Linked DNA regions of Canis lupus familiaris. Each later gene encodes a partner of the first gene's protein in a complex. Links are inferred from orthologs where the notes say so. Each region holds a gene or a part of one and is shown on either strand. Other genes may lie near its edges.

Region 1 (3,951 bases):
CCATTGGTATTAAGTATGAATTCACGGTTTCAGCATGATCTAACAAATGGTATCCTGTGAGGGCAGTTGTAATTGTAGTTATTTTCATTTGTCATGAAGAAGAGCCCTGGCAGCTCAAGGAAATCAAGGATGGTAAAGAACCCCAAGGAAAATTGGCAGCCTTCACTCTGCTGGCCTAGTCAGTGTGACTCTTGGACAAGTTCCTCAATGATTCCATCTGGAGGGAGAGGCTTATTTCCCAAAGATCATTTCACAACATGTCGCTGAGCTCTCCATGCACAAAAGTGTCAGGAATCAGATGATTTAAAGAATATGGAAAGTCTCACTTGCCCCACCTATGTCACCCTTGGATGGATCTCTCCAAATTTGCCTGCCATTCTGGAGTTGGCATCAGATTTCTTCTTTAAGCTAAACAGTGGCACAGTAGTTCTTGGGAGAGGAGGGATGCTGCTGGGAATCTCTGATTCCCAGATAAACGCTTTAGTTTATCTAACACTGGGTGGCCTCAAGACTCGTGCCCAGGTGGTTGCAATGGAGGGATCGAGGCTAGTGGTGTTATTTGGGTTGGTCAGAATATTTATTTAAAGTGTTGAAAGGAAAAAAAAAAACAAAAAAAAAAAAAATAAATAAAGTGTTGAAAGGAATAAGAACCAGAATCTTTGATTAGAAATGTGAGCCAGTCAATATTGCATGAGATGGAACTTTTACTTACCCCAAGAAGTTTTCGAGTGTAAAAGAATTCTTCTCCATTGTTATAAACCCCATAGAACCAGATAAAGAGGAAGACGTTCAGCCCCAGCCACACCAGCTGCAAAAAGAGAAATAGTTGCGTGAAGTTTCCACATTTCCATAGGTAGATTTCACATAAGATTAGAGTCAGACTGGGGTCAGGACTTCCCCAGTCTAGCCTTCAACGAAGCTGATCACAAATTTGGGTGTAACCAGCTCAAAGTCAGCTTTTTCCTACAACAGTGCCACTACACTTTGTGATTGACCTTTCCACCTTGTGTGGTTTCCCATGATTCTTTCTCTACCAGCCAGTATGCCAGGTTATTATTAGTCTATCACCCCTTTGTCTTTTTCCTCTTCTTTTCTTCTGGAGCTTAAATAGATAGCGGTGAGTGAGTCTTCTCAAAAAAGAAGGGAAAGGCATATGCTACTATATAGTCCCCTGCACCTGTAAGACATTGTATCCTATTCTCGTGGGTGCCATCGCCTCCCTCCACCACATGGCACCCCACCCCAGCTAGTGGGAGTCACATCAGCTAGAACGTCAAGCCTTTGATTCTATTTGGTAAGTTTGCTTAACTTTTAAAAGAGGGAATATTGAACAGGAACAAGGGGTAAGGAGCATGGGATTTTGTTTTTTTTTTTTAAAGAGACCCTTTTACATTTTGACTGCTCATTGCATCCCAAGCACAGATTGCATTAAGTGGAGGCACTGCTCAGTCTCTAACCTTCAGCTCCGTAGTGATATTTTCTTACTTGTGCTTTAATGCCATTAAATGTCTATGGGTGCTTAAGAATGAACTCTTTATGAAGAAGAAGGTATTAAAACTACTTCTCCATTCTTACTCTTGCTTTCCAAGATGTGTCTTTACTGTGAAGCATATGAGTGTGCAATTTAGGAGGAGGTCATCTCCTGGGGAAAACTGTGGTAGGAGCTAAAAGTATAATATGAACTTGTTTTCTATAGGAATAATCTGTTCTCAAAATGGTGATAAGAAGCCAAGTGAACAGCTCTGAGTCCTCAGAAGAATTCTATATGGCATTAGAATGTTGGTTTGGCATATTTTTTTTAATGACACAGTATTTCTTGCTTTTATTTGTGACACAAATTCCTCTCTATGTCTGCAACTCAAAGGCTCAATATTTACTTTATGATAAATTCTTTCAGAAATTCCACTCACAAGTGTTCTTTTTTAGCATCAGTACAATACTTTCATTGGCTATTTGGAAAGGCTAATTATAAATCACATTTCTATCTTCCCAATTGTCCGTGATCGCTTTGCTGAGACCGCCATCTTAAAATAATAGTTGGTCCTTGTTATGGTAAAAGACTAAAGATATTAACATGAAAATTAGCCCTATCTTTACTTACAAAAATTGTTTCTTAAAATAAACTAGATTTATACATATATATTTATATATATACATAATATATATCCACTGTATTTATGAGTCTAGTTTATTTCAATTTCCTTCCCTTGAATTTCTATAAACCTTGTAAACAACTCAAGTTTACCTCAGAGAAAAAAAGGTACTTTTTAAAAAAAGAAAGTTGAGAACGTCAATTAGTTTTGGTGTAATCACTGAAATAAAGGCCAATTTCCCATACATGAGTCAGCCTTGTACCTGTTATTTGGAAGATGGTGTAAAATTATGATTCCCCATTCTTAAGTGGTATAAGCACATAAAAAGTGGAGAATTTGCCTCTGAGTAAATATTAATAAACAACTTAGACTTGTAGATTATTAGCATGAAATGTCTTCTACTTGCTCTGTGAAATGCTGGCTACTTTAGTACTCCCAGATTCAAGTAATAAGTAGGCGAAGTGATCCCCCAGATACATTCTTATCATTAATAAGTTTGGAAGAATGCACTCAGTCTTGCTTACAGATAGATGTATGTTCACATGGTAAATCAGTTTCAATACAATTTCTCAAAGAAATAAAACAAACGAACAAAATAATTTTGCCCTATTTTAGTTTTCCGGAGAACCCCAACAAGTTCAAGAATTTATCATTTCTCTCTCATTGGTACTTACAATGACAAAGATGGAGAGCCCCTCATTCTCAATCCAGTTCCCCATGGTGACAAAGGTTCAATGCCTTGTGTCTGCCTTTCTTCTCTGCTCTGCTTCTTCTTCCCATGAGGAAATGAAAACAGCAGCCTTGGGGCAATCGGTTTCCTTTTCTATTATCAGAAATTAGCTAATCATTGGTCAACTGAAAATCTTGTTTCCATAAGAACTTTAAATCTTTAAACCACAAAAAAAGCTGCAGAAAAAAGGTCTAAAATAATCCAGTCATAACTAAACCGAGTAGGAAATGAGACCAATTTCTACAACTGAGAGACAAATAACAGTCCAATGATGGTATATATTTTACACAGGGACTTAACTTTTTGATTAATTGGTTATCAAGTAGTAATTTTTAAAAAGTCACTCAACCAGCCATGACTTCATGCTGGATAAAAATATTACATATCTTTTGACAGACTGAGCAGCATTTTACAGTCTTGTTGAGAATAATAACAACAATGATGGTTGATACTTATAGCATACTTACCTCATGCCAATTTTCTAAGATACATATGTGTGTGCATACACATATACACACATACATATACAAACATATATATTTACATATGATTTGATACATGCCAAACACAGACACGCATATTAAATTCAGTATATAAATAAATTCACTTGATTCTAACAATTCAACCCCTATAGAATAGTTTTTTATAAGATCTTTTTAGTTTTTGAATTTTTATTTAAGTTTTGTTAGTTAACAGTGCAATATTGGCTTCTGGAGTAGAATTCAGTGATTCATAAAGATTTTATTTTTAAATAATCTCTACACCCAACATGGGGCTTGAACTCACAACCCTGAGATCAACAGTCACATGGTCTACCAACTGAGCCAGCCAGGCGCCCCTAAAGTAGTTTCTATTACTATGATTATGCTTACAGATAAGGAAATTGAGACCCAGAGCAGTTAAGTTACTTGGCCACGGTCATGTAATTAGGAAATAGTAAAGTTGGGATTTGAAATCCAAGCACTTTGGCTATACTTCTAACCGGATGCCAGAAAAAAAAAAAAAAAAAAAGCCTAACTGTGTCAACCCCATCCAAAATCACTTCAAATACAATTACAGGAAGTAAAAATATAACAAATATAGCAAAATGTTTGGATGACTATAGTATTCCCAGGAAGACATGACATC
Region 2 (3,512 bases), on another chromosome or scaffold:
CCCCCACTGGGGACAGAAGTTTCCTAAACATACTGAAGACTTCGAACCATTTGGGGATTATGAGCTGACTTTTAAAACTTAATCACAGTTAATTTTTAGCTGGAGATTAAATGAGGCATCACTCATTCAGACTTAGCATTTTATGGGTTTGGTCTTTATTGAACACTATTACTATAATGTAGCAAAAATCCACAGTTCAAATTAATTGTATTTGAGAATTCCTCCAGCTGAAAAAATAAACACAAAAGACAATGACTGTTGCATGGAAAAAACTTTAAAACTTTAAAAAAGGAAGGGGGTGGGGGGAATAGCTGGCTGGCTCAGTTTGTTGTGTGTCCTGAGTGTCCAACTCTTGATTTCAGCTCAGGTTGTGATCTCTGGGTCATGAGATTGAGCCCCACACAGGGCTCTGCACTCAGCAGGCAGTCTGCTTGAAGATTCTCTCCCTCTGCCCCTTTTCCCCATTTGCACATGCGCACACTAAGTTTAGGGGCCCCTGGGTGGCTCAGTTGGTTAAGTGTCTGACCCTTGGTTTTGGCTCTGGTCACGATCTCAGGGTCATGAGATCGAGCCCTGCATCGACCCCTGCACTGAGTACAGGGTCTGCTTGGGATTTGTTCTCTCCCTCGCACCCTCCCCCTACTCTCGTGCTTTCTGTCTCAAATAAATCTAAAAAATAGAGTTTTAAATTTATTTTACTAAATAGAAAGTTAACTTTAAAAAACTCCAGAATGTCTCCACCTGATCCTCCTCTGGTCATCCTAGCTTGCTGAGAGCATGTACAGCAACTTCTGTTCATTTGGGCCCAGCCAGCTCGGACTTGAAGAGCTGTCCAGATCTATGAATCTTCACCTCAGCTACACTAGACTGTCTGTGATGTGCCTGGAACTATTCAGTGTGCCTTATACTGATTGCTAATCTAATCCTAGGAGAAAACAGGTCATGACTAGAGCTGTGAAGAAACCTGCCAGGGTCACAGAGCTAGGAAGCAGAGCATGGGATTTCAACCTGACAAATTCACTTGACTGCCCCTAGAGCATTTTCCTTTGGCCAGTGAGTCATCTGAGCCTCTAGAGTTGGTTTAAAACACTTTAAAAATGACTAACAAACGTGTAACAAGATAAGCAAATGGTACAAATAAGACAATTGCTTATTTCAAGTAAAGTGGTTTCTAAGCATATTTTAACCAGCTATTACTGATTCACTTTGATACACACATCATTTAAAATTCTCTGAAATGGAAGCAAAACTAATCTAGAAGTTTTTCTGACTGGACACAGTGGACATATTTTTACAAAACCGAAACCTGAATATACATTGAGAAGACTTAGATACTAACGCTGTAGAAAGATGAGCATGTGTTTTATTAGAAAAATAATATTAATTCCAAAAGAGAAGTCATTAACTTGATTTTTAAAACCTTAACTGTTTAAATTGACTCTGTGGCACAAAGCAAACTGATCTTAAAAGTAATTATTGTTGAAACTGGTTTGCAAGAACAAAACAGTACCTATTTCATGCGGCTGTCCTGAAATTAAAATGAAAGCATGTAGAACACATAGCACCATCGTTAGTAGCTGGTAAGGCTAAAAAATTAGAAACAAATCCTTGGTCCTCATCTAGGACATTCACTACCGAACTTAACCTTGCTACTAAAGATGGCAATACAGCTGGCCCTTGAACAACGCGGGTAGTTAAAGGTGCTGACTACCCCCTATGCAGTCAAAACCCTGTGTATTACTTTGACTCCCCGAAACTTTAAGAAACAGCCTGCTACTGACTGGGAAGCCTTACCAATAACATAACCAGTTGATTAATACATGTAAAATATGTTATGTGTAATATACACTGCATTCTTACACTAAAGTAAGCCAGAGAAAATGTCACTAAGAAAATCTTGAGGAACAAAAAAAAAAAAAAAAAAAAAACCAGAAAATCTTGAGGAGGAACTATGCTTACAGTACCGTAATGTATTTATGGAAAAAAAGTCCTGGTGTAAGTGGATCTCTGCAGTTCAAACCTGTGCATTCAAGTGCCAACTGTATAAGCAAACCTGTAGGTGATACGCAATTACACAGTCAAAATTACATACTCTAAAGGACACATTAAAAAGCAGTCATGATCCTTACTGTTTGCGGATAGGATAAGGGACGTAATCTGTCATAATCTTCTTGTCCAGCTGTATCCCATAAGCCCAGATTCACTGGTTTTCCATCTACCATAACATTGGCAGAGTAATTGTCAAAGCTGTAGAATGGAGAAAAAACACTTTAGCCCTGGAACATAAGGCATAGATGGGGGGTTTGAGTGACTATCATAGCAAGGGTCTCAGAGGTGTGCCAAGGCCAGGAGTGGCCTGGAGGCTCCCCTGAAAGCAAAGGTGCCAGCATGCAGGCACAAGGAGCCAGAGCAGCCACATGGAAGGAGAAAGGGCTGCAGGGTATGGGGAAGGCGAAAACACTGCACCTGGAGAAACACGCCTGGGACAGACACAAAGGACAAGGTAGTCCACTGAACTAAAACAAATGACTGTCAGCAAGAGAAAACCTTTGTTTTTAATGAAGAGAACATTAAGATTTTTCTCTCCAGAAAGAAACAAAGTATAAATTAGTCCCTCTCTCAAACCCACTTGTTGACTTGTGTACACGTTACTCATCTTCAACAAGGTGGCATACCACAAAGCCATACTCTACAGTGCTTCCAGAACACCCGCACTAAGTGCAGGGCAATCACCATCAAGCCTTGGTCACCGAGGCCTGCAACCAAACTGCTATGGTAACACAAAGCAATGCTTTGAAAAGTTATGGTGTGAGGCGAGCCTGCTTCTCCCTCTGCCTGTCCCTGACTCTTTCTTCTATGAATGAATAAAATCTTAAAAAAAGAAAAGAAAAGCTATCATGTAACATTTCAAGAGTGAGTATACACATGTACTTAAATTAACTTAAAGTTGTTACACAAAAACTAGTTAATGATAAGAGGCAGCCCAGAGAAGCCTGGCAGGCAGAAAATAAGGTGGACTTAAAAAACAAACAAGAATCACTAAGTACCACCAAGTACTTCACTAAAAATTAATTCTGAGGACGCCTAGGTGGCTCAGTGGTTTAGCATCTATCTGACTTTGGCTCAGAGCGTGATCCCGAGGCCCTGGGATTGAGTCCCACATCCGGCTCCTCGTGGGGAGCCTGCTTCTCTGCCTAGGTCTTTGCCTCTGCCTCTCAGGAATAAAATCTTGAAAAGGAAAAAAAAAAAAAGAAAAAATCTGGGATTGCAATTCAAACCAGGGCAAGTACCAAACAAGACACAATATATCAGCCTGTAAGATAAAATTCAAAATCATTTTTACATACTCTCAACTCTCAACACTAAAACTTAGGGTCTTGTTACATTGAGACAGCAAAGCAGAGGTCTGCGTAAGGCTCCAATGTGGTTTACAGAATGGAATGACAACTAAATACCGTAAAGAAAAAGCCTCATGTCTTGCAATTCTGCCTCTGTGAGAAAAATATTCAATA
Region 3 (4,046 bases), on another chromosome or scaffold:
CTTGATCCCAGGACTCCAGGATCATGCCCTGGACTGAAGGTGGCGCTAAACCGCCAAGCCACGGGGCTGCCAGAATCTGTATTTTTAACCAGCTTTCCCAGGTGACCCGGATGTGGGGCACAGGGTTAAGGGGCCGGGGGCTGCCTAGGCCTCTGTCCCCATCTGGTGGTGCTGAGCCCCCTCGCCGCCTCAGCCAGAACCCCCGGTGTGATCGGTGCTCCCCGTCCTGGACTCCTCGGGTCTCGGGGTGGGATGTAGCTGGGCGTCACCCTCCACCGGGAGCCCCATGGGGAATCCCCAGGCCCCTGGCTCCCAGCCCTGCCCCTGCCAGCCGCCCCTACCAGTTCATCTCGGCCATACATCTCACTCTGGGTGTCTTGGTCTTTTATTTTTTGTGTCATTTGTATAACTAAACGCCCATGATAGTAGCTTCAGACTGGAAAAGCAAAATAAAATAATGCGAGTGTGCAGCCCCCCCCCCCCAAAAAAAAGAAGGGGCCAGGGGGCGGGGAGATACCCAGGAGACCACTGAACGGAAGGGGACAAGCCACAGTGCCTGACCAGGGCTCTGCGATCACGCGCCTGGGCTCCAGAGCTCCAGACACCAGCTCCACCACCTTCCGGCCTCGGGCAAGGCACTCAGCCTCCAGAAGCCTCAGTTTCTCCATCTAGAAAATGGGGAGAAGATGAGCTACTTCTCCTAGGAGCGCGCTGAGTGGTAGATTAGATGAAGCCCATAGAGGGATCCCTAGGTGGCGCAGCGGTTTGGCGCCTGCCTTCGGCCTAGGGCGCGATCCTGGAGACCCGGGATCGAATCCCACGTCGGGCTCCCGGTGCATGGAGCCTGCTTCTCCCTCTGCCTGTGTCTCTGCCTCTCTCTCTCTCTCTGTGGCTATCATAAAAAAATAAAAAAAAATAAAAAAAAATAAAAAAAAAAAAAAGCCCATAGAAGAAGCCAGCCCACGTCTGGCACAGTGTAGCAGCCAGTCTACATGAGGGCAAATTACTTGACCTCCCTCCTCTTCCCGTCCCACCTCACCCGACACCCGAGAGAGCAGCAGTTAAGAGCACTGAGTTTTGAAGTCAGAGGGACCTGGCCTCAAATCCCACGAGGACTTGGGCAAATTACTTGACTTCTCTGAGCCTCAGTTTTCCCACCTGTAAAATGGGCCTAGTGTTAGGTTGGTGGGAAGATCAAATGGGAGGGGTTCCAGGGGGTCCAGCTCCTGGCCCGTAGTCAGTGCCAGCGATGGCCGTGGCGCGCTGCCTTCCCTGGGCCTGCGGGGCCGCTGGGCTGGGAGGGGACCTGGGCTGTGCAGTGGGAAGTCCAGCAGCCAGAGGGGCAGCCCTGTCCCCTCCAGCTCCACTCTGGTGTTGCCACGTCCTATGCTGAAGAGGCTGGCCACCTTCTCCCCACCGCTGCCCTCCCCAGAGCTTGCCACCAAGGTGACTCTGAATGACTGAATGCTGGCTTCTGCCCTCCCCTCCTCAGATCAGATACAAAGAGGAAGTGAGCGGGGCTGGGCCGGGGGCAGATAAGGCCAAGCCGGTGCCTCAGAATCAGCAGAGGGCTGCCTGGTAATGCACCCGCTCCCATGAGACTGATCAGAGCCCAAGTCAGGCCGACAGGTCAGGGCCACGGGGCCCCGGGCCCGGGAAGATCTGGGTCTCTTCAGGCCTCAGGCTGCCCCTCTGCAGAATGGGAGAGTTGCAAGGGAGGCCCGCCCAGCTAGAAATGCTGGGGGGTTTGCTGGGTTGGACTCACGGAAAACCCCAGGTGGCTGGACCCAGAGACATTGTCGCTGGCCAGCACCAAGATGGGCAGCTTAGACCAGTCGTTACACAGAGACCCGCGGGGACCTGACAACCTGAGGCCACTGAGACCTGACAGCTGAGGGCCCTCCCCTGCCCCCCCACCCCCCCGCAGCCCAGCCTGGCCCTCACTGACCCTCCCAATCACCCTCCTGTCCCTCCTTGCTGCACCTTCCTTTCGTGTCCCCCTCCCCCTTCTGCTCCTCGCCCACAAACCCCGCACATCCTCCCCAACCAGGCAGGCTGAGGCGGAGGGGACAGCACCGGAGGGGGGAGGGGGGTTAATACTTCTTGAGCACTCTCTGCACAGGACAGCCACTCAAAATATGTCAGGTGACCCTCACATCAATCCCGGGGGCGTGGTCTCTTCCCAGATGGCAGAGCTGAGGTTCAGAGAGGCTCTGTGGCTTGCCCAAGGACACACAGCCATGCAAGCCAGCCACTGGAGCCCAGGCCAGCCTGATGAAAAAGGCCACCCCCCACCTGCATCCACAGAGTTGAAGATGGTTCCCGTAAGAGACCTGCTCCAGCTCTCAGGGTGCAAGTGAAGGGCCCCAGGCACCTCCACCCTCAGTCTTGTGCCCTCCACCCACCTCCACCCACCTCCACCCAGGCAGCTTCCGGAGTGAAGTGGGCAAAGAGGATGAAGCTGTCCTCTCCCTACCTCGGGGGCTCTCCCTGGGCCCCAGGACAAGAAGGGAGCAGTGGTTTCTCCCAGCTGCCCCCCAGAGACTCCAGGGCAGGCGGGCCTCAGGGGTAGCCCAGGAGAGAGCTTCTGCCAGGTGAGGAGGTGCAGCCAGGTACCTACCCATCTCCCACCACCACACACTTGATGGCCTGCATCTCGCTCCGGGCCTGGGAGGTAGCGCCGGTGACAGCTCAGGGCACAGAGCGTTTCCGCGGGCTCCAGGGGTTTGGAGAGCCTGGCAAGGCGCCCCGCCAGAGGAGCAGCAGCAGCAGGACAGGAGGCAGGAGGAAGCGGAAGGGGAACTTACCCAAGCTGCTGCCCCAACAGCCGTTTGCAGAAGGCGGAGCATGCGGTCTGGTAGGACTCGGGGCCCCTCAGGTGCTGGGCTGGGACGCCAGCAGGGGACCTGGGGACCCTCTGTGCTGGGGCCTCCCCGCTTGCCCTTGGGGTAGGGCCACAGTTGTTCTCCAAAGACTTAAGCTTCCAGAAATTCAGTTCATCTTAATTCTAAGTGTCAAGCATTTAATGAGTGCCTGCTGTATGCCAGCCATAGTGTCAGATGCTGGCGAGTCCAGGGTGCAAAAGGTACAGCCGATCCCTGGGGAAGATGCCACCTGACACATGTGTCCATAAGACAAGGCAGGAAGTGATGGGGTCAGGGTGGGGGATCTCTGGGGAGGGGAACTCAGAGCTACACAGAGGGAGAGTTGGGGCCTCTGAGCATTTGAGCCAGTGCCTGAGAGGTGGTGCCAGAGAGAGGGCACTCCAGATGAGGGATTGTGTGAGCAAAGTGCAAGGCTCCCCCAAGCAGGTGCGAGTGTGGGGGTCCTGGAGTGTGGAAGGATGGGAGGTACAGGGGGATGGGGGGGGCAGCTGGGGCAGGCAGGGGGTGGAGGCCAGCTGATGGAGAAAAAGTAAAAGGGAAGTGATGGGCAGTACCCCACAGGAGCCAGTCTTGTGCTGGAGGCTGCCTTGGGGGACTAGGCACCCCAGAACGAGGATCCGTGGCTCATTTTAACAGCGGGCAAATGGAAGGTCTGAGAAGGCAGTTGGCTGAAATCGGACCCAGGGCCAGGTGACTCCAGGTTTTTCTGGCATCCCAGCCACAGAGAAGAGAAGGAGACAGAAGCCCGAGTTCTGCAGCTCGTGGGGAGGAGGAGTGCTCCCCCTTAGCCATGAGTACACTTGGAATCTGGGCCTCCCTGGGCCTCCCTGTGGGATCCGAGTTCACCTGGATCTTACTGTTCATTGTCACTGCTCCCCACACCCAAGCAAAGAAGTAAGCAGAGCCACTGGTCACCCACCCCCGACTGTCACTGAGGACGAACCAGGAAACCCCAGGACAGCGGTCTGCTCCAATACTTGGCCAGTCGATGATTAAAACCAACCCACAAATTTTGATAACTTTCCTCTGCCCTTTGCATAAGCTGAGCTGAGACCGTGGAAAACACTTCACGGTGCTCAGACCGGGTCAGGAAGGCCAGTGTCCTCCCCCGTGACCCACCCTGGGCTTCCTCCCTCACAAATCACCCAAGGACTTTATTCC
Region 4 (4,280 bases), on another chromosome or scaffold:
GCCGGACACCTACAGCCACACCCTCTTGGGCTCCCACGTGTCGGGAGCACGGGGCCAGGGGGCGTGGAGACAAAGAGAGGCATCAGAGCAGGTGCTCTCCCCAAGCTGAGGTCACTAAACGGGAGTGGGGGCCAGAGAGCAACCGTGGGTCCTGTGGTTCCTCAGGAAGGGCCCACCAAGGAGACGGTCCCTCACCCAGGGCACCTTCAATCTGCTCCGTGCTACGGCAACACCACGGAGCAAGGAATTCGGTGGAAGCAGTCGCAAAGCGCGTCTAGGAGAAATACAGCTTCGGGGGATCCCTCTGCCCAGGGGCTGAGTCCTACTAACCAGAAACCTCGAAGCTGAAGTTTGAGGACAGGGGGTGTGTGAGGCCTCTGAGCCTCTCCCCCTGCGGTGATTCCCACGGCGCCCCCACCCTCGCCTGCGCTGGCCTTACCTCCCAGTCCTCCAGGTTCTGCACGGCCACGAACAGGCAGCCGGTGACATAGAAGAGCTTCCAGCCCAAACTATCTGCAGAGCAAACAACAGGCAGCGGGTGAGGGGCAGCAGCAGCGGGCGGAGGCCTGCGTGCCATGGGCCCCCTCGCCAGCCGATACCGGGCAGGGGTGGCACCTGGGGCCAGCAGACCTGGCCCAGGGTGGCCGCCCGGCACTGCTGGCCCTGCCTGTCACTTGGAACCATATGTGAAATGTCCGGCCAGCTCTGTGCCCTCCACTCTCCCTGCAGCATCTGCTGGAGACACGGTGTGACTGTGACGGTGGAGGGAGCCACCTGCAGGAGCAGCTACAAGTGTGGCTTAGCCTGCAACAGCCTCAGGCAAATACAAGAGCACCTTTTAAGAAAGTTTCATCACCAGGGAAAGTGCTCCAGATACGAGAAGGGAAGAGCACAGGTGGCACGGGACAGGCTATTAGGAAGGATGCACCAGTGCTCAGGCTGGGGCAGCACCTGCACAGGTGCCTGTGGCCCCAAAGGCTGGGGCTCAGTGGGCACCACTAATGGTGAGTTCTCTCTCTCTTTTCTCTATTTCTCAAACAGACTAAGTGACAGGGTGGGCGGGAGGGGGGAGGGGAGGGAGGCAGGGGGATGCACCTCACCTCCACTGTAGTATGCAGCAGCCAGGCCAATGGACAAGATTCCTGCAAAGAGAAAAGAAAGCAGGTGCTTCTATTGGGCCACCAGCGGCCTAGGGCCCCCTCACTTGGAGCCACAGGCCCAGAGGTGCAGGGAGAGCAGGCCTTCCTGGTGCCAGGGTGCCTGGAGGTGGGGAGCAGGGGAACCAGAGACCATGGCTCAGGAAGGAGGGCAAGAGGCAGGAGGCGCGCTTGGGACCATGGCAAATGCCATTCTGCGTTCCGGGAATCTGTTCCTCTACCTGGGGCTCCAGGGCTGACCAGCGAACCAGAGGGAGGAGCCGGACAGCAGGGGTTTACTCTACCAGCGCAGCATGTGCGCAAGGACCACGTGTGGCACATGAAGCACTACAGGCAGGTGGCCACGAGCAGGGTGTCGGGAATGACGGACCAGAGGCAGGCTGCTGAAGGCACAGCCACACCACTCCTCACACCAGGCCCACCAATGGCCTGCAGCTGCCCCCGCGTGCTGGACGCCCAGAGGGACAGTGAAGGAGCGAACTGGGGCCCACCGCCCAGCCTGACGCCCGCACCCGGGCATTGGGAGGCAAGGAAAAGGAGAACACCAGGACCTCGGGAGAACAGGCACAACCTTAAGGTGAAGGTGGAAAAAGGACAATCGCACGGAGGATAAAAGCTAGAAAGATATGAGATAATTGTTGTACTTGGGGGCAACAAGACAGTTTTGTTTCCGTTGTTTTTATTTTTTTATTTTTTAGTTAAGATTTATTTATTTATTTATTTATCATAGAGAGAGAGGCAGAGACAGAAGAGGAGGGAGAAGCAGGCTCCATGCACCGGGAGCCCGACGTGGGACTCGATCCCGGGACTCCAAGATCGAGCCCTGGGCCAAAGGCAGGCGCCAAACCGCTGTGCCACCCGGGGATCCCTGTTTCCGTGTTTTTAAAGTTAGGTTTTTAGCTTGGGGGAAATACGGAAATCCTTACCAACAAGCAAAGACCAGGACCTGATGCCCGGAGCCCTCTTCAGATGGAGGCAGGAGCTGCTGCGGGACTCCACCTGCATGTACATCCCGGGCCTGGGCGGGCAGCGCTCCGACGCAGACGGGCTGGGGAAGGGCGAGGGCAGACCGCGGCTGGGGTCCAACCGCCCGCCCGCGGGGAGCCGGCCCGGGGGCACCGGGAACCCGCGGCCCCAGCAGCACGCGAGCCTCGCCCCGGCGCAGCCTCCCGGAGCGCGCGGTCCCCGCCAAGAAAGGGAACTGCGAGCGTCCTCGGGCGGCCGAGGCGCGGGGGGGCGGGGGGAGGGATCGGCGGGGAGGGAGGGGGAGGGGGGACCGACGGGGGAAGGGGGGAGGGGCCGGGGGCGGGTGCTGCCGGCCCGCGGACCGAGGCGCGCGGACGCGGCTGGCACCCAGCAGGCGGGGCTCCGGGCTCTCCGCGCACGCACCGAGGGTGGGCTCCGCGGCGCGGCACCGGGCTGCCCGAACGGCGGCGGGCGCGGGGGTCAGCGGCTCCCCACAGCCAGGGCCCCCGCGCCCGGCGCTCCCGCCACCACGCGCCGCCCGCAGCCCGCCCGCAGCCCGCCCGCAGCCCCGACGGCGGCCCGACCCCCGCGCCTACCGAACACACGACCCCGCGGGCGCTGAGCCGGGACCTCGCGGCGCGCGGCGGGCCGCCCACTTCCGGGGTTGGGGGCGGGACGGCTGACTTCCGGGCGAGGCGGGCCCGACTTCCGGGGCGGGGCCTCTTGCCGCAGCGCCCGCGGCGGAGGGCGGCGGGGGAGCCGGCGCCTCGGGGCGCGGGAGCGACGCCCCAGGAAGCCTGGAAAGGTAAACTGGGCCTCAAAAGTCTCCCTTAAAACATTGATCAGGGGATCCCTGGGTGGCGCAGCGGTTTAGCGCCTGCCTTTGGCCCAGGGCGCGATTCCTGAGACCTGGGATCGAGTCCCGCGTCGGGCTCCCCGCATGGAGCCTGCTGCTCCCTCTGCCCGTGTCTCTGCCTCTCTCTATCATAAATAAATAAATCTTTAAAAAAATAGAAAAATAAAAATAAAACGTTGATCAAAGCAGCTGGTGGCCCAGTCGGTGGAGCGTGTGCTCAGGTCCCGACCCCGGGGTCCGCACCTCCCCACCCAGCCCCTCTTGCTCTCAAATGAAATCTTTAAAAAAAAAAAAAAAATCGATAAACAAAAAGCGAAGATAATCTAACAGTACACGTGCACCAGCTCTGGCAAAAATGCTAAAGCTTCAGTAACATCGAAGGAGCATGAATAGCTTGTTCACGCACTGACAAGTCGTCATAAAAAATGAGCCCCGCTGCGGTGACTGCCGCGGCGCCGAGGCTCCCGGAACCGGGCCCGGCTCTCGCGGGCTAGCCTGTCCACAAAGGATTGCCGTGGGAAAGGCAGTTTTCTCCGGGAAAACCTTGCGATGGCCACGTAGGAGGCCCACCTGCTCCCTCCGCCAAATGCCACTTTCTCTTACTGCCGCAGGTGAGGACCCGAGCAGGACCCCATCACCTGGCTGCGGTCAGGAGGAGCCCCCACCCACCACCTCAGCGGGATGTTGGAAGAACAGGGGAGCTTCTCTTCTCCTTTGTCCCTTTCCTATTCTCAACATGTTTTACAGCCTTCGTAAGATTAGTGCAACGCGTAGTCCCTTACAGAGAAACGTGTGTGCACGGGTACACGTAACCCCAGGAGGCTTACCAACACAGGCACGCGACCTGACCCATCTGCTTCAGCTTCTCTCTGCCCGTGGCTTCCTAACCTGGGCAGGCATCTGAATCACCTGGCAGGCTTGTGGAAGCACAGATTGCTGGCACTTGTTCCTAGTGGTGGGAGGGGGCTGCAACGTCATCTGTTGCTAATCCGCTGGTCCAGGACCCACACTTTGAGACCATCTACCCCAGCTGCAGCAGAGCTGGGCTGTGCCTGAGCACAGCGGGCTCCCTGACCCCTCAGCTCACACTCTGTCTCCTCCAGGAAGACTCCCCTTCCCTATCTTGAAGGTGCATTTGAATTGTTAGTACCTCCTTTAGGTCCTTCCTGCTTGCTGCAGCTGGAAGTGATCTTATTCCTCAGGATTTAGGTAGAACTGAGAGGAGACCCAGGAAATTCTACTTTGTTACACTTACTTGCATTCTTTTCTTTTTTTTTTTAAGATTTTATTTATTTATTCAT
Region 5 (2,858 bases), on another chromosome or scaffold:
GGGCGTGATCCTGGAGACCCGGGATCGAGTCCCACATCGGGCTCCCGGTGCATGGAGCCTGCTTCTCCCTCTGCCTGTTTCTCTGCCTCTCTCTGTTTGTCTATCTCTCTCTCTGTCTCTTATGAATAAATTAATTTAAAAAGCTTTAAAAACAATCTTAGAGACGGGCAGCCCTGGTGGCTCAGCGGTTTGGTGCTGCCTTCAGCCCAGGGCGTGATCCTGGAGACCTGGGATCAAGTCTCACGTCGGGCTCCCTGCATGGAGCCTGCTTCTTCCTCTGCCTGTTTCTCTGCATCTCTCATGAATAAATAAATAAAATCTTTAAAAAAAAATCTTAGAGAAACTGAAGCTGAGCTGTATGCAAGGGTGCAGGGTGGGGGGAGAGACCCACCCCATGGGCAGCAGTAGGTGCAGAGGTGAGAATCAGGGCTCTGTAGGCAGAATGCTGGGAGACAATACAAAAGGGTCATGGGTAGGCAGCCCCGGTGGCGCAGCGGTTTGGCGCCGCCTGCAGCCTGGGGTGTGATCCTGGAGACCCGGGATCGAGTCCCACATCGGGCTCCCTGCGTGGAGCCTGTTTCTCCCTCTGCCTGTGTCTCTGCCTCTCTCTCTCTGTGTCTGTGAATAAATAAATAAAATCTTTAAGAAAAAAAAAAAAGGGTCAGGGGTAAGCATTTTCCAGAAATGGAGAAATCTCAGATTGAAAGAAAGCAGAGCCCATTGCAGAATAAAGGAAAACCAATCCCTTTTTGGACACATGGTAATGAAATTACAGACCATTAAAGGAAATCTTAAAATTTACCAGAGGGAAAAAGTGGTTTCGTAGCAGCCTGACTGCAGACTTCTCAGGAGCCGCTGCTGGGAGCCGAGGGAAGAGAATTTTAGGTGCCGAGAAAAAGGACGGATTCAGGACCCGGGGGGGACCTCAAAGGATGCTTGTTAGCAGGGGTGGGTGTGGGTGTGGGTGTGGGTGGGTGCTGAGTCCCGCAGACAGGACAGGCTGCGAGGAGGTGGAGGGGCTTTGAAAATGAGCACCGATGGTAAATAATTAATCATGGTGAGGTCAAGTCTACACATGATCCAGGAAGAGAAGCTTTAGATTTTTTTTTTTTAAGATTTTATTCATGCGAGACACAGAGAAAGATCAACATGTCCTGATTGTACCTCGAGTGATCGCTGTTCGTTCTGGGGATGCTCGCACAGCAGGGCGTGGACTTAGACCGCCTGAGCGGTGGACTTTAACATGGCTAAAACAGAACATTTTATGTTATGTATATTTTACCGCAATAAATTATAAAAAAAAAAAAAAAGATAATTTCTGGGGAGAAAAGATGCAGAGGTATGCCGCCTCCAGCAGCCAGCAGGAGGCAGGACCACGTGGGCTGGAGTGGCCCACAGCAGCCCCGGGAAGGGCATAGGGATATCGGTGTCTGTCGGCTGGAGGCCAGGTGACCAGTGGGACATAGGAGCGCTGTGCAGCTGGGAGCCTCGCCCATCCACAGGAGCACACACAAAGGGACAGTGTCATCTTGAGATGCAGAAAGCAAGCACTCGAAACGGCCAGGGGTCGCAGAGCCCTGCAGAGTGGACGGCTGCGGTGAAGACCAGCCCCAGCGGCCCTCCTGGGGCTCTAAGGCTGGGTGTCCCCCAGCTGCTGCTGGGACCCAGACCTGGCTCCCCCCACGCACTGCTCTTTTCACCCCTTCCCCAACTTGCCTGTCACTTTCTAGGGGTTTCTCCTTCTGTGTCCCCTGCACAGATAAACATGTTGTCCCATGTGGTGGATGATGGCCTGGCCAAGGGAGGGGAGCCCACGGAGAGTGGCCAGAGCACCCTACAGCCCCCAGCCCTGCACCTGCGATGGGGGCACATTCCTCCTGCTAACCTGCTTCTCCTCTGCCCACAGTCCTCATCATGGGAGGCATCGTGGCCACCGCCGGCCAGTTCACCAAGTGGTACTTCGGCGCCTACTCCATGTATCCTGCCACCGCAGAGTCCAGGCTAGGGTCGGGGGCAGGACTTCTGGGCACAGGGTGGGGCTGCTGCTGTCCCTGGGGGCATAGCACTAAACAGTTTGCAGAGTGCTACCCCCATTTGTGGGCCCTTGAGACACTCCACAGCGCTGGGGAGGGCAGGATGGGGCTCGGTCACACAGTGGGACTGAGCAGGGCAGCAGCCTGCCCGAGGCCGGGCGTGGGTCCGCAGCAGGCCCATGAAGACTGGCCTGGGGAGAGGTGTCAGAAGCCCTGAGGCCTTGGGGATTCCTGGGATCCCCTCCAGGCCCCCTCTATCAGCCGTCCCCCAGGGTTGGCCTGGGATCCATCGGAACAGGCTCAGCCCCTCTGGCCCAGCTGTGACAGGCCCACCGAGGCAGGCGTGGGGGGGGATGGAGGGCTCATGCGGGCAGCACAGTGGCAGACTCTGCTGAGTGACCTCTGGGAAGCAACCTAACCCTCTGTCTTCTCATCCGCAAAGGGGGCTCACTGAGACCCCCGGGCTGTGTGGCGGCTCCTTAACGGCACCTGCAGCGGAGCAGGCGTGTTTGTGTGCCTGCTGGAGTATCCGCGCGGGAAGAGGAGGAAGGGATCCACCATGGAGAGATGGTGAGCCCCCAGCCCTGCTCCGGGCCACCCCACGGGAGCACCCTCCTTCCAGGGCCTGCCCAGCCACCGTGGCCCCCCACTCAGTCCTAAGGAGTGAGAAGCCAAGGTGCTCTAGGGAGGAGGGTGCTGTGTGGGATACAGTGTCTTCCCTCCCCTCTGCCTAGTGGACAGAAGTACATGACCAAAGTGGTGAAGGTGTTCGGGCCTCTCTCCAGGAACTACTACATCCGGGCCTTCCTGCACCTTGGGTGAGTC

Evidence for each region.
Region 2: CYBB (region 1) and RAC1 share a complex: the UniProt entries of both Homo sapiens proteins name them as parts of the phagocyte NADPH oxidase complex. The link is inferred for Canis lupus familiaris from reciprocal best matches to the Homo sapiens genes CYBB and RAC1.
Region 3: CYBB (region 1) and RAC2 share a complex: the UniProt entries of both Homo sapiens proteins name them as parts of the phagocyte NADPH oxidase complex. The link is inferred for Canis lupus familiaris from reciprocal best matches to the Homo sapiens genes CYBB and RAC2.
Region 4: the proteins of CYBB (region 1) and CYBC1 are in contact, whole or in part, in a cryo-EM structure (PDB 8KEI), measured with the Homo sapiens proteins. The link is inferred for Canis lupus familiaris from reciprocal best matches to the Homo sapiens genes CYBB and CYBC1. Residues at the interface, in NP_000388.2 of Homo sapiens: Trp28, Asn74, Leu75, Leu76, Ser77, Phe78, Leu79, Arg80, Gly81, Ser82, Ser83, Ala84, Cys85, Cys86, Trp206, His210, Phe212, Pro266, Met268, Trp270, Lys271, Ile273, Tyr280, Tyr324, Phe326, Lys328, Leu335, Glu336, Trp337, His338; in NP_001028218.1 of Homo sapiens: Arg22, Leu26, Ala37, Ser41, Gly42, Asp43, Trp47, Phe50, Tyr51, Phe57, Gln61, Asn62, Glu64, Lys77, His97, Asp98, Gln99, Val100, Val101, Val102, Leu103, Arg108, Ser111, Glu115, Val117, Arg118, Tyr119, Phe120, Arg129, Ala131.
Region 5: the proteins of CYBB (region 1) and CYBA are in contact, whole or in part, in a cryo-EM structure (PDB 8X2L), measured with the Homo sapiens proteins. The link is inferred for Canis lupus familiaris from reciprocal best matches to the Homo sapiens genes CYBB and CYBA. Residues at the interface, in NP_000388.2 of Homo sapiens: Thr116, Ile117, Leu120, Phe121, Val123, Glu124, Asn128, Asn133, Lys161, Asn162, Pro163, Gly166, Leu167, Ala170, Val180, Thr183, Leu184, Ile187, Leu188, Thr191, Ser192, Thr194, Lys195, Thr196, Ile197, Arg199, Ser200, Tyr201, Glu203, Val204; in NP_000092.2 of Homo sapiens: Gln3, Ile4, Glu5, Trp6, Met8, Trp9, Glu12, Gln13, Ala16, Ile20, Thr23, Val27, Gly31, Phe33, Thr34, Gln35, Arg56, Arg59, Met65, Gly102, Phe103, Leu104, Leu105, Ala106, Ile108, Leu109, Ala112, Cys113, Ile116.

What each region holds. Positions count from the first base shown.
Region 1 is NC_049260.1:32,670,684-32,674,634, reverse strand, and holds the start of CYBB (cytochrome b-245, beta polypeptide), read right to left. Parts: upstream 2,813-3,951; coding exon 2,768-2,812; intron 809-2,767; coding exon 713-808; intron 1-712. UniProt on the Homo sapiens protein: Catalytic subunit of the phagocyte NADPH oxidase complex that mediates the transfer of electrons from cytosolic NADPH to O2 to produce the superoxide anion (O2(-)).
Region 2 is NC_049227.1:11,830,567-11,834,078, reverse strand, and holds part of RAC1 (ras-related C3 botulinum toxin substrate 1 precursor), read right to left. Parts: intron 2,248-3,512; coding exon 2,130-2,247; intron 1-2,129. UniProt on the Homo sapiens protein: Plasma membrane-associated small GTPase which cycles between active GTP-bound and inactive GDP-bound states.
Region 3 is NC_049231.1:28,294,990-28,299,035, reverse strand, and holds the start of RAC2 (ras-related C3 botulinum toxin substrate 2), read right to left. Parts: upstream 2,806-4,046; 5' UTR 2,656-2,805; coding exon 2,621-2,655; intron 2,356-2,620; exon of another isoform or gene 2,295-2,355; intron 1-2,294. UniProt on the Homo sapiens protein: Plasma membrane-associated small GTPase which cycles between an active GTP-bound and inactive GDP-bound state.
Region 4 is NC_049230.1:759,855-764,134, reverse strand, and holds the start of CYBC1 (cytochrome b-245 chaperone 1), read right to left. Parts: upstream 2,807-4,280; 5' UTR 2,720-2,806; intron 2,206-2,719; 5' UTR 2,169-2,205; coding exon 2,084-2,168; intron 1,143-2,083; coding exon 1,101-1,142; intron 514-1,100; coding exon 440-513; intron 1-439. UniProt on the Homo sapiens protein: Functions as a chaperone necessary for a stable expression of the CYBA and CYBB subunits of the cytochrome b-245 heterodimer. Controls the phagocyte respiratory burst and is essential for innate immunity.
Region 5 is NC_049226.1:65,179,113-65,181,970, forward strand, and holds part of CYBA (cytochrome b-245 alpha chain), read left to right. Parts: intron 1-1,906; coding exon 1,907-1,976; intron 1,977-2,528; coding exon 2,529-2,603; intron 2,604-2,767; coding exon 2,768-2,851; intron 2,852-2,858. UniProt on the Homo sapiens protein: Subunit of NADPH oxidase complexes that is required for the NADPH oxidase activity that generates, in various cell types, superoxide from molecular oxygen utilizing NADPH as an electron donor.